Linked DNA regions of Tamandua tetradactyla. The protein of the gene in region 1 purifies or fractionates together with the protein of each later gene. This does not show direct contact. Links are inferred from orthologs where the notes say so. Each region holds a gene or a part of one and is shown in the gene's direction. Other genes may lie near its edges.

Region 1 (7,525 bases):
CTTGTTTATTGAATGAATGAATGAATGTGAGACTATTTGCAGCTAGCGTCACCCAGAAAGAAAAGTCTAAAGTTCATTTTATCTTCTACTGGGAGAAGAGTTTGTTTCCAAAATTTGTTTTTGAAAACCCAAAGAGGTTTTATCAAAATGCATGCAATAGGGGTGCAAGGGTAGTTCAGTGGTAGGATTCTCACTTGCCACGTGGGAGACCCAGGTTCAGTTCCCTGCCCATGCACTTCCCCAAAACAAACAAACAAGTAAAACAAAAGAAAACACAAACAAACAAAAATTCAACAAATGGTGCTGCAATAACAGTCTACTCACATGAAAAAGAATGAAATACATGCATACAGCATACAAAAAACAAAGATGCATGAGATATCAGCACTTATACAAATAAAAACCTACGAGTTTATATTCCAAAGGACAGAAATGAGCAAGAAGAGTAGTTTTAAAAAAATAGTAAACGAAGCAATGCATTAAAACCCTTCTGCAGAAACCTTGGGTTACAAATCAAACATTCTAAGTAATTAGAAAATGCTATTGGACATTACATAGAAAATAAATGGAGGCCACAGAACACATCTGTGACAACATTAGGACTGAAAACCCTCTAAGCTGTTTTTGAGTTTTCTAGTGATGTTCAATCTATACGGTGAAGACTTTTCATCCCTTTTTGTCATCCTGACGATAAGCCTAAGTGGGCTGGGAGAAGGGGAATTTCTCAATTCCACTTATACAAGTTTCCCACGAGCACACTGTGTAGATACAGATATATATATATATACTCCGTTTTGAATAGCAAGAGATGGCCTCCCTGTTTGTTTGTTTTTAACATATTCCCACTACCAGAGGGGAAATTCCCCCAATCAGCTGATCTGAAAAAGCCAAGCTTACAAAGAACAGCTAAAATGGTTTGTTCCTGCTCCAGTTCATAGTAATAAGCAAGACTCCCTCTTTGTTCAAGAAAGGGAATCCACAGGACTTTCTTTCCATCACCACCTTGATTAATCCATTAATGATTTTTCAGGCAAGTCTTATGCAGGCAGGCACTGTGGGACAGGGCAGTGAGTCAGAGATGGGCACCAAAACCAGAATAGAAGCCATACTCCCCTGGGGAGTCTACTCTGGGCTTTAAATTCCCAGATCACACAACTTCCTAATTGGAAAGAAATGTTCTTAAAACAGGAGCAGCGGTTTTGCTGGAGCCTGACAGTGACTAATAAGGTCAGTTTAAGGACTGTCTGATGAAAGACAAGCCCGATTTCCATGCCACAGTGAATTTTAAAAGTATTTTTACCCCAAGCTTTACTGCAGAATATAAATAAAATACCTCCCCTTGGACAATCCCTTCCCGATTCCTGCAGCTATGCCTTCGTTAATTAAATTAACTTGAAATGACGTGCAAATAACGTTTTCCTATCAAATGCCTTTGTTTTCTCCAACATCTACTCAGTGACAAGTTATTTCAAAAGGTTCCTGTGTAAACCGATTGCTTCCCACCCGCAGCCTGCGGACTCACTGAAGACAATTTTTATCAACCCTGCGGGTAACCGATAAGTCCTCACATTGTATTGATTTAACTGGGGGCCAAATGGCCCACAAGCCTGGAATACACGCATACACGTTCTCTCTCTCTCTCTCTCCACACACACACACACACACACACACACACACACACACACACACACAACAGTGAGTTTTATTAGTATTCGGATAAATACAATAAGATAATTTAACTCTTACTTGGTGAGAGTCAAACAATTGAATGCCAATTCCTGAATTTGGGGAAAAATCCTTTTTTTTTTACAGTAGCTTCCTTGATAAACCAGGAATTCGCATTCGCGATTAAAGCGGATCTGAGCTTGACAAACTACATTAAGTCCTAAGTGGTGGCTTCTACCCCCACCCCCACCCCCACCCCCACCCCCACCCCCACCCCCACCCCTAGGACGCGGGCGCGGGCGCGCAGGCGCACGGGCGCGGGCACGCGCACGTGGACACACACTCAACACGCGCCTGCCTGCACCTCTTTCCGTGTGAATCGCCCGCGGGATTTTAGGGGCTTCGCTACCTTGGATTAGTCAAGTGCAGAAAGCAACTGTTTGTTCCTTGGGCACTTTTCTCCCCCTAGATTTGGCTGTTATTTATGCGCCACGTGCGGCGCAGGGCGCGATCCCGAGGCGGGGAGGAGACCCCAGCGCCTGGTAGACAAAGGCCAGCGGAGCGCGACCGGTGCGGCCCTTGGCTCCCGCGACACGTGTGATATTGGCTCTTCCAAGAACAGAGAGGCTCTTCCAAGAACTGTCCTGTCAAAGCCCTTGTAAAGCAAACGGAGTTTCTTTGGGCCGGAAGAGCGGCGGCCCGCGGGCGCGGCGGGGGCCGGGTTCCAGAACTACGGGAGGGCGGCCCCGGGAAGCGAAAGTGCCCCGGCCGGTTAGGGCCTCTTTGCAAGGGGACTTCTTTGAAAAGGCGGGCCCCGGGTGCATTAGCGAGAGCGAATCCTTAGAGCCCCACAGCCACCCCGGCAGAAAGAGAAACGGGTTAGGAGCCTCCTTTGCCCTTCGGAAGAAGGACCCGCCCCTTTCCTTCGGAGAGTGCGCCTTTAACCAGCGACCTCCCACCCTGGGTGCCAGGGGGGGGAGGGGGGGGGGCGGCTACTGCCGCCCGCCGCCTGGAGGTGTTCGCAGTTGGGATCCTCTTTCCAGGGCTAGGACAAAGGTGAACACCCATCTCCGGCGCAAGATTTAAGGGGACTCCCCAAGTAGTCAATAATCAGAATAAATAGTATTTGGGTGCAGTGGGTTTTTAAAAATCAAAATTAATGTAGAAAATTCATGATGAACAGTATTTCGAAATGTTTCAGTGAAGACAGGATCAGTACGGTGGTGTACGGTGACATATTGGGAGTCTAAGGCAAAAAGGAAAGATCCCTCTCGAGCCCGAACCTGGCTGGGCTGCCGGTGCCTTCGGGACGCAGGGGGAGGGGAGCCGGGGTCGAAGGCCTCGGAAGTGAAGCCCCTCCTCCCGGGGTCGGGTTGGGGAGAGAAAGGGCTGGCCCCGGGGGGCGGAGATGAGGGCTCCGGCTGGCCGCTCTGCAGCAAACAAAGGCGGCAGAGGACGGAGGGTGAGGAGGGGACAGGAGGTACCCTGCGGTCCTCCACGCGCTACCTGAAATGGGGACACTCCACCCCGCTGTCCCCGAGGCCGCGAGCAAGCCCGGTGATTCCCCTGCGTCGGTGGTTAATTCTCTAGAACAAGTTTTGGCAAGATGTCGGGCGAATAATTTGGGGGCTGCTGTTGGGTCCCCACCGCTTGCGCGCAAGGGCGTCTTTTGAGAAAATGAAATGCAAAAGGAAAACTGTGGGGGGGAGGCGGGGGGGAAGAAGAAAAAAAAAGGGAGAAATGCTACATGACCTGGAAAGATGGATGCACAGAAACCGGAATCGACTCTAGAGCTTATGATAGCCTTGTAAAAAAAGTCATTCTTTGCGTGTAAATTTCACAGGGATATAGTTGCGCACCATATGTGGATCCTAATTGTCATTTTCTGAGAAAACCGTTCATACGTGTGCAAGCTGGGGTCAGGATTTTTCCCAAAACCTAAAACGCCGATTCCCCCCCCCCCCATCAGGGTTAAATAAACATACTTTAGGAAGCGTGGAAGGGAGTGACACCCCTGCCCTCCTCCCCGGGAATAACATTCCGGCAATTAATGCCTCCCTCTGGGCTGTAAAACAACAAACCCCACACGTCACTTCTGTTCCCGGGACTTCGGAGAGGGGGGACTTTCTCTTTCTTCTTTTAAGTTGGGGTTGACCCACGCTCCTCGGGAAGCTGTCAAGCTGGATTTAATGGTTTAAGATGGAAATCGATCGCACTAATGCAGAAGCCTACGTCTGCGGGCCGCATTAAAAAGACGCCCGGCCGGGCCGGCCCAACACGGTAAGTCTGGGGCGCAGAGGATCCTCTCCAGTCTGGGGAGATCACTGCGAGGGGCGGGGGGAGGAATGGAGAGGTGAGGCGCGGAGAGAAAAAGAGGAAACCTTAAACTCCGCCGCTGGCCTCCGCTGGGGCGGCTTCTCGGAGGTTTGCTTTGAGCCAAACGCGGCCCAGGGCGCGGGGTGGAATGGTTGCAAGGCGACTTGTGCCGGGGCAGGAAGCTCGAGCCGCGGAGGCCCGGTTCCATTCACAAAGTCCCGGGGCTGCCACTCGCCGGCGGGTCGGAGGCCGCCTCCCTCTTCCTCTGGGTCTCGGTTTTATGAATGGACCTGGCGGAGAACGCCGAGCTCCCTGTTTACTCCGCTCTTTGTGACGTCGCGTTCCCGTGACTGGTCGCGAGCCGTCGGCGCTCCATTCACGCGCCGGGGAGGCGGGGGGGGGGGGGCCAGAAGGCGGGGCCCGCGAGGTCGAGGGACAAGAGATGGGGGGGTGGGGGTGGGGTAGAAGCGCGAGGCCCAGAATGGAAAGAGGCGGGGCCTCGCGAAGTAGTAATGACTCTCCTCCCTCCCTCGGGAGAGCCGAGGAGCATTAATAAATCTATAAGCAGAGGAGGAAACTCGAGCTGGGGCAGTGCGCGGAGCTTCATTGGTGTGTAGGCAACGGCGGCCGGCACAGCAGCGCCGGCGGCAACAGGAGCAGGAGCACCACAGGCTGTACAATAGAAGCGACGACAGAAGGGAGCCCTGGGCCCTCTCCTGTAAACACTCTCCCCTGCACTGCCACGCCACCTCCCCCTCTGCGCTGCGCGTCGTCCTGCCTGGCGCCCGAGGCCGCTTAAAACTGCTATGTAACCTGGTGACTGCGGGAGGAAGGGGGACTGGGGAGAAGAGGTTCTCCGGCGGTAGCCATCGGGGACCAAGTTGGCAGTGGTCACTTCGGCACGCGTCCTTCCTTAACCCTCGCCCGCCCCTTGCTCCAGCCCAGCTGGCCGGGCTGCCCTTGGCTTCCTCGCGCACCCAGCAGTCGCGGTTCCTGGAGACCATGGTGACGGTGGAGGAGCTGCGGGAGATGGACTGCAGCGTGCTCAAAAGGCTGATGAACCGGGACGAGAACGGCGGCGGTGGCAGCCACGGTGCGCTGGGGCTGCTGAGCGGCGGCAAGTGCCTGCTGCTGGACTGCAGACCGTTCCTGGCGCACAGCGCGGGCTACATCCGAGGCTCGGTCAACGTGCGCTGCAACACCATCGTGCGGCGGCGGGCCAAAGGCTCGGTGAGCCTGGAGCAGATCTTGCCCGCGGAGGAAGAGGTGCGCGCCCGCCTGCGCTCCGGCCTATACTCAGCGGTTATCGTCTACGACGAGCGCAGCCCGCGCGCCGAGAGCCTCCGAGAAGACAGCACCGTGTCGCTGGTGGTGCAGGCGCTGCGCCGCAACGCCGAGCGCACAGACATCTGCTTGCTCAAAGGTAAACCCGGGTGGCGGGGCGCGGGCTGGGGTGTACACGTAGCGCGATTTGTCGGCCTGCGTCTTTAGTGGCCGAGGGAAGGAGTGACCGGTGGCTGCGGGAATCCCCCGCGCGCTCTCTGTGCGTGTTAGTGTGCACGGGCTTGCAAGGATTGTGCGAGTTTTTGTGCGCGTGTGAGAGCTTCCTAAGCCTTGGCGGACGACACCGGAGCGCTCCTTCCGTCACCCGCCGCACCCTTCTTGGCGATTCCGCGATTATTTACACTCACTAACGGTTTCTTGCCTCTCAAGGGGAAAGCTCCTCCCGTGCGCACGGCTCATCTGCTAAGTACTGGGAAGTGCCCCCAAGTACCACAGCGCGGGTGGGGACAGAATAGGCCTACTTGTTTGGCTTACCCCGGCTCTACACTACGTCCGATCCCGAACTCCAGAGGTGGGGTGGGGGGTGGGGGACGGTGAAGGAGTGTGGGCGCCGGGGGGGAGGGGGATCGACCCCGCCGGATCGATTTTGAAACCAGGCCTTGTTAAGTGAAACGCGGATCGGGTTGCAGACCTTGTGTGGAGCGATCTGTATCTCTTCTCCCGATGCTCGACTCGGAGGTCCGCCTGGGAGATGGCCAAGTTCCCCACCGCCCCGGCGCCCGGCTAAACCCTAGCTAGACCCGGGCTCCGGGAGCCGGAGGCGGGAGGATTGCATAGGTGCGGGACGCTAGACTGGGACCGTGCCTCTCCGGTTACGTAAATCCGGCCAGCGGAGTCTTAGGGTCTTTTGTTCTGACATAATTCTCGATTATCTGATGGTTTCTGCTTGATTTAAATGAACCCCGGAGAGACCTTTCCTCTTTGGAGGTGTCCGAGGGTGGTCTTGTCAAATCCAGATGTAGGAACAACCCAAAAGGACTGTGTCCCATCCAAGTAACTGGAAGGACGATGCGCCGGTCGCAGCCGAGCCCGCGGCCGCACCTGCCGGGACTTGCCCATCGGCCGGCGCCCCTCGCGCTGGGGAGCGGGCAGGGCCCTGGGGGCTGCCGCGCTGCACCCCTTGCTCCCGCCACAGCATTCCGCGCATTCTTCCGCTTTAGTCGGCTTCTCGCCTGCGAACCCGAGAGGCGTTTCTATCCCGGTCATCAAAGAGCCGCCGCGGTTCCTGAAGGCGGCCCTGGCCTCTCGCCCCCCCGCCCCAACCCCTTCCCTCCTAATCGGAGCTGTTCACTCGAGAGGAAGGGAGCTGGAGCGGGGGACGGAAACCTACCGTCCCCCACCCAACCGCCCCCTCGAAAAAGCACAACAAAACTGCTCAGTGCCGACAGGCCTGGTCTGCCCCTGGCGAACAGCGGGGGGCTTTGTTCTCGGCAGTTGTTTCCTGACCATTTGACCTGTCAGCTGCTGGGGAAATGCTGCTGTTGACCTTCGGTTGAACCACTAAGGCGATTTTGCTGATTTTTCTTTCTTTTTTCCGCTAGGGCCACCTTTTGCACCACCCTTTGAGCCAGCTCCCTTCCCTCCCCAGAGCGCCTTGAGAGAAAGTCCCCGGAAGGGGCTTTGACCCTAGGGACCGGCATCTAAGCCGGGGGCGCGCTGGGCGCTGGAGAAGGGTCTATCCCGCCTGCGCCCGAACGTGGAGCGGTGCCGAGGAGCCCCGCGCCGTGCTACCCCGGTGTCAAGTCACTGGTTAGACCACCGGCGTAGGTGGTCTGTGCTATTGTTTGAAGATGTCAAACAATCACCAGCTGGCGCTGGTGGGAAAGAGGAGAGAGAAAGTCCTCTGGGTAGGAAAGTCCCACTAGAGTGGGTCGGGGCTGCCCAGGATGTGTTCTGCGCTGAGCTGTCCCCCGGCTCCCGGTCCCCTTAATGTAGAGCCTGATTCGGGCGCCTTCCCTCCGGGGCACTGAACCGAGAAGCCTTCCTGCGGCGGGGCGAGGGCTGGCCTCTAGCCCCACGTGGAGTCTGGGTTTGTTTTGTTTTGTTGTTCTTCCTGAAAGCAATCTGGAGGGGCCCACCTTAGAACGGCAGCTCCGGGACCTTGGCCCCGCGCCTGGGAGAGAGGCTTGGTTTTAGGGTTTCCTCTCTGGGCTCGCGACCTCTCGCTGTCCCGGTGCATGCGGTCGGGAGAAGCGCCTGC
Region 2 (8,105 bases), on another chromosome or scaffold:
ATGGTTGGACTGCATGATCTCTATGCATCACTTGTAGATTTAAAAATCTATTTTGCCCTTTTTTTTTTTTTTTAAGAAAATGAGGAGGACTTAATGAGGTTGGATATAGATTCATCTCTGGGAGCAATATAAACATTCTTAATAATCTATGTTTTTGTAAAAGCACAAACTAAAATTCTTTAAAATAAATGTGAAGTACATACACATTACACAGCTATAAAATATACAGGTAAATACTCAAGTTATGTACACAAATAGTTCTTTATGGGTGAGGCTATAAGCAAGTTCAATGTACCAGTAACTTGGTTTTCCTTCAGGATGATCATATATCATCTAAACTGGGAGAAAGGAGTAACTTTAGTGTTGAGGCCACCAAAAAAAGGTTGAGGCCTATTCCTGGAGGGTCTTGAAGGCTAGGTTGAATCTGAATTTTGTTTCATAGCTATTCGAAATGCTTGAGCAGGAGGAATAGTATTATAGGGATGCAGTTTGGGAAGGTGAATCGTGTCCGTGGAATGGTCTAGAGCTGTGCTGTCCAGTATGATAGCCACTGGCCACGTGACCATTTAACTTTAACCTAATTAAAATGAAACAAAAAATTCAGTTCCTCAGTTGCACTAGCCACGTTACAAGTGCTTAGTAGCTACATGTGGTTAGTAGCTATCTTGGTGGACAGCTCAGATATAGAACATTTTCATTATCACAGAAAGTTCTATTGGAGAGCACTGGAGATAGGAGAGACTGAGGCAAAAAGATAGTTGGAGACAATAATACAGTAGTCCAGGGAAGACCTAATGAAGTCATAAGCCTGTGTGGCCACAATGAAGATGGCAAGGAGGGGCAAGTGGAAAGCTATGAAGCTGGCTTAAAAGGACCTATCAAGTGATTAGCTAAAAGCAGCGAGGGAAAACACATGATCATGATTTCCTTTAGTCATTTTTGTTTTATTCCCCTCTGGAATTTCTCCAGCTCAGTTATATCTTTTGTGATTTCATAGAAACCCTTATGGCTTGTTTGCATGCATTAGCAAGACCTTCCCGACAAGATAAGCAGACCAGAGGCTATTACCTACAAGTGGCAGATGCACTTTGGTGTGAAATTTGGCAGATGCATATTTCAGAAAAAAGAACCCAAACCACAATGATGGGATGATGATGTTTCAGCTAAGACAAGGAGGGTGTCTCTGTTAGCGACTCTTGAAAATCTCTGTCTAATGAGGCCACTGTACTCAGTGTGATCAACAGCATGCTAAAGCTTTACCCATAATCTTAAAGATCAGTGTCCACTTAGAAAACCATTCCCTGATGCTCTCTGCCATCAGACGGAATAGTTAGGTGGGTAATGCATGGGTCTCAACTACCTAAGCTTTCATTTTCTTATTCCACAAATATGATGTGTTTCCAGTATCTGGATTAACTCTTAGAAGTGAGAAATTAATCTCTGCTAATGAAACTTAGTCCCTGGACAAGTAGCATCAGTATCACTTGGGACTTTGCTAAAAATGCAAATTCATAGGCCCCTCCTAGACCCACTGAATCAGAAACTCTGAGGATGGACCCAGCAATCTGAACTTGTAAGGAGCCCTTCTGGTGATTTTGATATACATTAAGTATGAGGAATGCTATAAATATAGCCAATTATCTTAAGCCCTTCTTCCAGGGCTACATGAGCACTTTGGACTGAGCTCCTTCTCCCCCCATATTTGTCCCTTCCATCTGTCTATCCCTTCCATCCATCCCTCCATCCATTTGTTTACATAGTCTGTGTTCTGACTATTTTAAAAGTCAAGAACATAATTGAAATACTACCCAATTTTCTATTGACCCAATTCATATGAAATCCTGAAACCTAGTTCAGTTGCAAGAACATCTTTTCTCTGATATTGTCATCTATCATACATTCTCTATAATCATGGGAAGGCAATTTCATCTCCAAAATAAAAAAATAAGCATTTTTAATTCCATGTAAAACAGCTCTTGTCAGCCTAAGTTTTTATAGGAAATGTATTTGGAATATAGAAAAGGCACAGGCAAAGACCATTGTCTTTTAGTACTTTCAATGCAACTCTCTGACTAGTGACTGGCGACATAAAGAGGAATAATAAGACAGTGGCAGCAACCCTTAGGAGCTTACCATCGGACATGAAACCACTTTTAATGCAACACAATGGGTAATAGTAGTGGGTGTAGGGGCATGACACTGTTATTAGAGTAGGGTTGTTAAGAAAGCTTCAAAAGGGGGTACACTGAAGGATAAAAAAGGATCTGACAGGAAGAGAAAGGCGCAAGAGTGAGGGAGATCAGTCAGAAGAACCCAAATGAACAAAAACAGTGAGATCTGAAAGGACGCAGCGCTTCTGGGCAGGCAGGATGCAGAAAACGACTGGGGTGGAAAGGTGAGGTGCAGGAGAGGACTAATTCGGGGGCTCCTGACAATTCAGACAAGAGACTTTGAAGGGATTCCCCTTGCAAAACGCACACATCGTCTCTTGTCATTGCTATCCAACGCGGACTTCCAAAATAGAGATAATACTTCTGAAAGATAAGCTCCCATATATTCATTCATATATTGACTGAGGGTGCACGACGTGCCTGGCCTCGCCAGGGGACTTCGACTTGCAGAAAGCGACGATCCCTCGCCCACAACTTGCAGCTCCGAGCACTCGGCGTCTCTGTGCAGCCGCTTACCTGGTTCCCCGGCGAGGGCGGGTGCAGGCGCTGGGGTCCACCCAACTCAGGCCCGGCTGGCGGCGCTGCCGCGGCGGACGCCGGCGGTTCCTGAACCGTTGCCGCCGAACCCGCGGGAGTTCTGGGCGGGCGGGGGGAATGGGAGCGGGGGTGGGGATCCGCACCAGAGAGGTACCTGGGCCATACTTAATTCATTAAGTGAATTAACGAATGTGAAGCGAGGAGCATGAGGCCTGGCACAAATAGGCCTCCTATCAAGAATAGTGAAAGCTCGAGGCGATCCTAGGTTCCCATTCATTTAAGGTTTTATTCTTAATGGAGGGCTTACTTGGTGCCAGGCCTTATGCCCTTCACTTCACCTGTATTAATTCACTTAAATCCCGGGTCAGAAGAGTTTCGGACGGTAACTCACAAGCCTCCTGTCCGCACTGGAGAAAAGCACCCGCCCGGTTGCACCTGTTCTTCTGATCTGCACACACACACACACACACACACACACACACACACACACACACACGAGCGCGCAGGCACACACCCCTTCTGTACCCACCCCTTCAATCTCCCTTCCCAGTCACCATCTTTCACTATTCCTTGTATTTCTGCTTGGCCCTGTTGCAGTTTTACATTTGTTTGTCTCATTACCGTATTAATAGTTGAGTTATTATTCATTTTGTAAATTGTTTCACCTCATTTACAAAATGAGGTATCATCAGTGCCTAGAACAGTGAAGTGCACATAGTAAGCCTCAATAAAGTTGGGTTGAATGATTGAAGGACTGCCTTGCTGTTGATTGTAAATTCCATGTGGGCAGCAATGGTGTCTGATTTTTAATCATCTCTTTAATGAAAATGGCTGCCACTTAGTAGGCATTCAATATGCATTTGCTGAATGAGTGAATATATTGGTCACTTCGTCTTTACCGTTTCAATCACCCCCACTCCATCATCTCAGTTTACTGGATAAATATATGAATGTCTTAGGATTCTTACTTCCAAACCTCCCCATCGTTTCTTGCATCCACTCATCCTTTTGATGACCCACTCCCACCTTTCATTTCTCCACACTCATATTTTTGCCTTCACTCCCATTTTTACCTTCCATTACTTGTTAGAAAGTTCTTCGACCTGCAGGTTGGCCTGTTCTCAGGCAGTGTATCTTCACAGGCAAGAGAAACCAGGAGAACACAGGTTGAGTGCAAAAGCTTTTTCCTCAGATCGTCTATGACCTTGTTTTCCTGTTTTTTTGTTTGTTTGCTTTTTAATTTAGTTTTTCTTGAAGAGAACTGAGGACCCTGCACCATCTCCTAAATTGAGATCATGGCCATTTTTCATATTTTGTTAACCAATATTTGTGGAGTGCCAGGCAAAGTCTGAGCTCTCCAAAGGATGCATAACACAAAAGAGAATAATCATGAGGAGCGATGAGAAGCAGCCTGGTTTGGCCCTAGTTATGTCTAAGATAAATTCTCCTGCTCTTGTAATAATTTTGGCATAGGAACAGAACGCTAACTGGGGACAGGCATGGATTAGAATACCTTGCCCATTCACATTTATTAACCTGTTTAACTCTTACAAATGACCCGATTAGGTGGGAAGTAGGGCAGGAATTCTGTTTTGCAAAAGCTGGAACTAAGGTCTAAGAAAGGTCAATTGACTTGCCTAATGTGTTGTGGCAATGCGCTCTGTTGTCCAAACTGAGAGGCATGAATTATATGCTTAAAATCCTCTTCACTGGAACGTTCTTTAGCGTAGGAGTCAGTTTCAAACCCCGAAAAAATGCTTCTCAAAGGGAGTTGCTGGAGACTTTCCTGAATTAGATCCACCCAAGGTATATATACGGTAAAAATGATCACGTCGGACTTATTTAAACAGACTCTGGGTGGGTCCTGGGAATCTGCATTTTAAAGCAAACTTCCACAGCGATTCTTCTGCACACAAAAATTTTGGGTGGAAATTCTCAGCCTTGATATTTGCCCATAAAACAGATTTCTTCAGAATGCAGAAAAGTAAACCAAACTGTCCCTGAGCAGATGGGAATATAACTGTTTTCTGGTCAGAAACTTTCTCTTTTTTTATGCAGTTATTTCTTGGAGATCGGAGGTTCCGCTGAGCAGTCGCTCGGCTGCTGGTGCCTACACCCGTAGTCCCAAGATCTTTTGACCCTTTTCCCGACACTTTGTCCCTGTCACTTTCCAGCACCAGGCATTTCCCCCGCCGACCACAAAGAGGCGCACGTGGCAAGTACTGCCAGTCGCTCCACACCTTCCCGGTCCGCCTTCGCGCTCTTAAGCGAGACCAGACGCTGGGAGTTCTTGCCTCCCGTCTCTAGTTGTTGCTCTCGCGATAAGTGCTCTTCCCGTACTCTCTCCTTATGAGCCCCCTCCCGCGAGCATGTTCCATATTGGGTAAAATCTCGGCTCACGGAGTGTCCCGGGAGCTGTTCTCGCGAGAGTGCGGCGGGAGGCTACTGAAAGCTGGCTCTGGATCCGCTACCACAGGACCCTCAGCGGGCGCTGCAGCTGGAGCAGACATTTGGGCGTCGCTGCTTGGAGTCGGCCTGGTCGGGGAGAGGGTGCAGGGGGACTGCGGCGGGCGCAGCCTTGAGCTTTGGAGTGCGCCCTATCCTTAGTCAGGCTCGCCCGGGTTTCTGCAGCGCGTCCAGCCTCTGCGGGTGACAGGGGCCGCGCGCGCTTGTCGGTGGGGCCGCAGCAGCCGCACCTGCGCCCGCTGCCAGCGCGGGGTCCCGGCCGGGCGGGCAGTGAAGGCCGGCGAGCGGGTGCGGGCGCAGACGGGGGCCTCACTGGGCCACCTCCTCGCCTTGCGGCCGCCGCTGGAAGATGTCTCAAGAGAGGCCCACGTTCTACCGGCAGGAGCTGAACAAGACAATCTGGGAGGTGCCCGAGCGCTACCAGAACCTGTCTCCGGTGGGCTCCGGCGCGTATGGCTCGGTGTGGTGAGTATTCCCGAGCCTGAAGCCGCGTTGAGCAGGGATGGTCCCTCACGCCCAAGGGTCATGCCTACACGGCTCAGCGATGAGCCAAGCGGTAGGAATTTTCCTACGGGGAGGGCATCGCTGCGCATTTGAGTCCTTTTCTGCACCCCCTGCCCCTTACCCTGCACACCCGGGTTGGTGGTTAGCCGGATGCAGGACGCAGGTTCGCGGTGGGGTGGGGGTGGACAGAGCGGCGCCTGGAGCTCGGCCCTGGTTCCCCTGTGCGTTTCTTTTTGGAAGGCTGCTGCTCTGGGGTCTGGGACGGTGGCGGGGGTGAGGACTCTGCTGGCGTCAAGCAGAGGAACTCTTTCGGGGGTGCTCCCATCCTAGGGCGCAGGAACAGGCCCGGTGAACGAACAGCTTGGGGAGCTGCAGAGAGCAGCAGAAGGGCAAACCCGACAGGTGGACCGCAGTCATCTGAACAAAACTGACGAAGAAAGAACCCTCCCTGGGCTTTTTTTTTTGCAACCCTCTGTCGAAATCCCGTTTTGAGAAGCCTTCTTTTTGAATTCGCACTTGAATTAACAGCGACCCATAGAGCTTAAAATACTGACTTTATCTCCACCGTGCCAGCTTGAGTGGTGTGTTTCCGATTCGGTTGAAAGCGTATTTCCTCTCCGCCAAGGGGGGTGGGGTGGGGTGATAGTGCCTGCAGGAACACTGCATTTTAAGAAACAGGCCGCCTTAGTGGTTATTCACATACCATTGCTCATTTAAGTATTGTTTGACAAAAGTTTTTTCTTTTGGAGTAAGTGAGATAAAGGTCCGTTGAATGCCCTCCAGATGAAAAAGTTATTAACAGTGTTGGGAAATGTTATAAATATATTTAAGTTCGACAATTTTTGCAACTACAGGTTTTTTTTTTAAAGTTCCTTATGGAGAGTTTGCAGGAACTTATCCACATTTATGACCTGAGGTACATGATGATCTTCATAAGAATAAGGAACATACAGCAAAGGAAGAAAGAGACACTTGCAAACTCTAAATTTACAACCGGAGCGTGTTTTAAATTAAATTAATACCATAAAATTTCCAGACCTGAAATATTTCAGTAACTTCTCTTTAATTTCCAAGGATTCATTTTAGGTTTACTACGATTTCAGAGCGCCTGATCTGAAACTATCAGATTTAATTGTTAGCTTTAGTAATTCATGTCCATGGATCTTTTGAAAAAAGACCTGCAAAGTTATTTTTCTTTTTAGGAACAAATTCCAGATTTTTGAACGTGTTAATCTCTAAATATGATTCCTGTGTTCCTTAAAGCCACATCATGAATTTCCTGTTTGGTAGAATCTTCTGAGTAATTGAGATTGTGCAATTGTGAGTAACAACAGATCATATTGCGTTTCCTAGTTCAAGCTGCTTGAATTATGTTGCAGATGTCACCATCCTTTGACATCTTTCTCCCATTTTTACAGTATGGCAGTTAGCATTTTAAAATAATTTGCAGCATTTAACGTTCATTATATATATTTCTTGTTCATTTCCTAGTTTTCAAAGATGTATTTGGATCGTTGCTTCTTTAATAGCTCATAGATTTACTTCCATTTTTACATTCTTGAATTGATTCACTAATTTTTGTAGTATTGTTTTTGTTTCCAATGATGTTTAAGCTTTTAATGATGCAAAAGATTCACATTAGCTAAAGGAGTTTAGCTGAAAAGAAAGGTTTCGTTTTTGTGTGTCTCTGCAATGAAACAGGAGATTCAGATTTACGGTGAAATGTCCTTAAAATGAGCTCCAAATTTCTTTAGTACTCTACTTTGCTGGCTTATAGAAGCCACCAGTACCTGGCATCTGGAAGTAATTTTGTTAAACAGGTTTAAAAATAAGTAATACATTTACATTGTATAAAATTCAGAAGACATAAATGATACTCGGTGAAAAGTTTCTTTTCCTTTCTTGTTCCCCAGCCTCCCTGTTCCCTTCCCCAGAGATAACCACTGTTAAGTTTCTTGTGTGTCTTTCAGGGAGGCAGAGTTTTTCATTTGTTCTATTGTTTGTTCTGTCAAGGGGATTTAAGATGCAACTTAGAATATATTGGTGGGGAAAAATAAAACTGGAATTATATGAAAATTGACTATAAACAAATGTAACTGATTTTAGACTGAAAATGCCAGAATTAGTTTCATAAATGAATGCTTTCTTAGGCAGGGTAGTTACTTGAAGTTGCTCTTTTAGTTAGCAACTTTTCCAGTGTGACAGAAAAGTTTTTGGGAAATTTCTTAGAATCCACTTTGGTGCCTATGTAACTTTCTTCCATCCTCCTCCCTTGAGAGCAGATTGGATTTTAAGGACTAGTTAAAAGTCAAAATATATTCAAATAATTTAGGGGATTTGAATTGAAGACTGGTGAAAAAATTAGGCAGTTAGATTGGTGATACTGTTTTAGGTGAGATAGGAATTAAAACTGTAAAGTAATGACAC

What was found. Proteins that work in one complex are often made in the same cells at the same time.
Region 2: the proteins of DUSP4 (region 1) and MAPK14 purify together in Homo sapiens (affinity purification with mass spectrometry; 3 studies listed by BioGRID and IntAct, with this or other methods). This does not show direct contact. The link is inferred for Tamandua tetradactyla from reciprocal best matches to the Homo sapiens genes DUSP4 and MAPK14.

What each region holds. Positions count from the first base shown.
Region 1 is NC_135352.1:14,470,275-14,477,799, forward strand, and holds the start of DUSP4 (dual specificity protein phosphatase 4), read left to right. Parts: upstream 1-4,434; 5' UTR 4,435-4,983; coding exon 4,984-5,404; intron 5,405-7,525. UniProt on the Homo sapiens protein: Regulates mitogenic signal transduction by dephosphorylating both Thr and Tyr residues on MAP kinases ERK1 and ERK2.
Region 2 is NC_135331.1:92,713,576-92,721,680, forward strand, and holds the start of MAPK14 (mitogen-activated protein kinase 14), read left to right. Parts: upstream 1-5,062; 5' UTR 5,063-5,523; coding exon 5,524-5,639; intron 5,640-8,105. UniProt on the Homo sapiens protein: Serine/threonine kinase which acts as an essential component of the MAP kinase signal transduction pathway.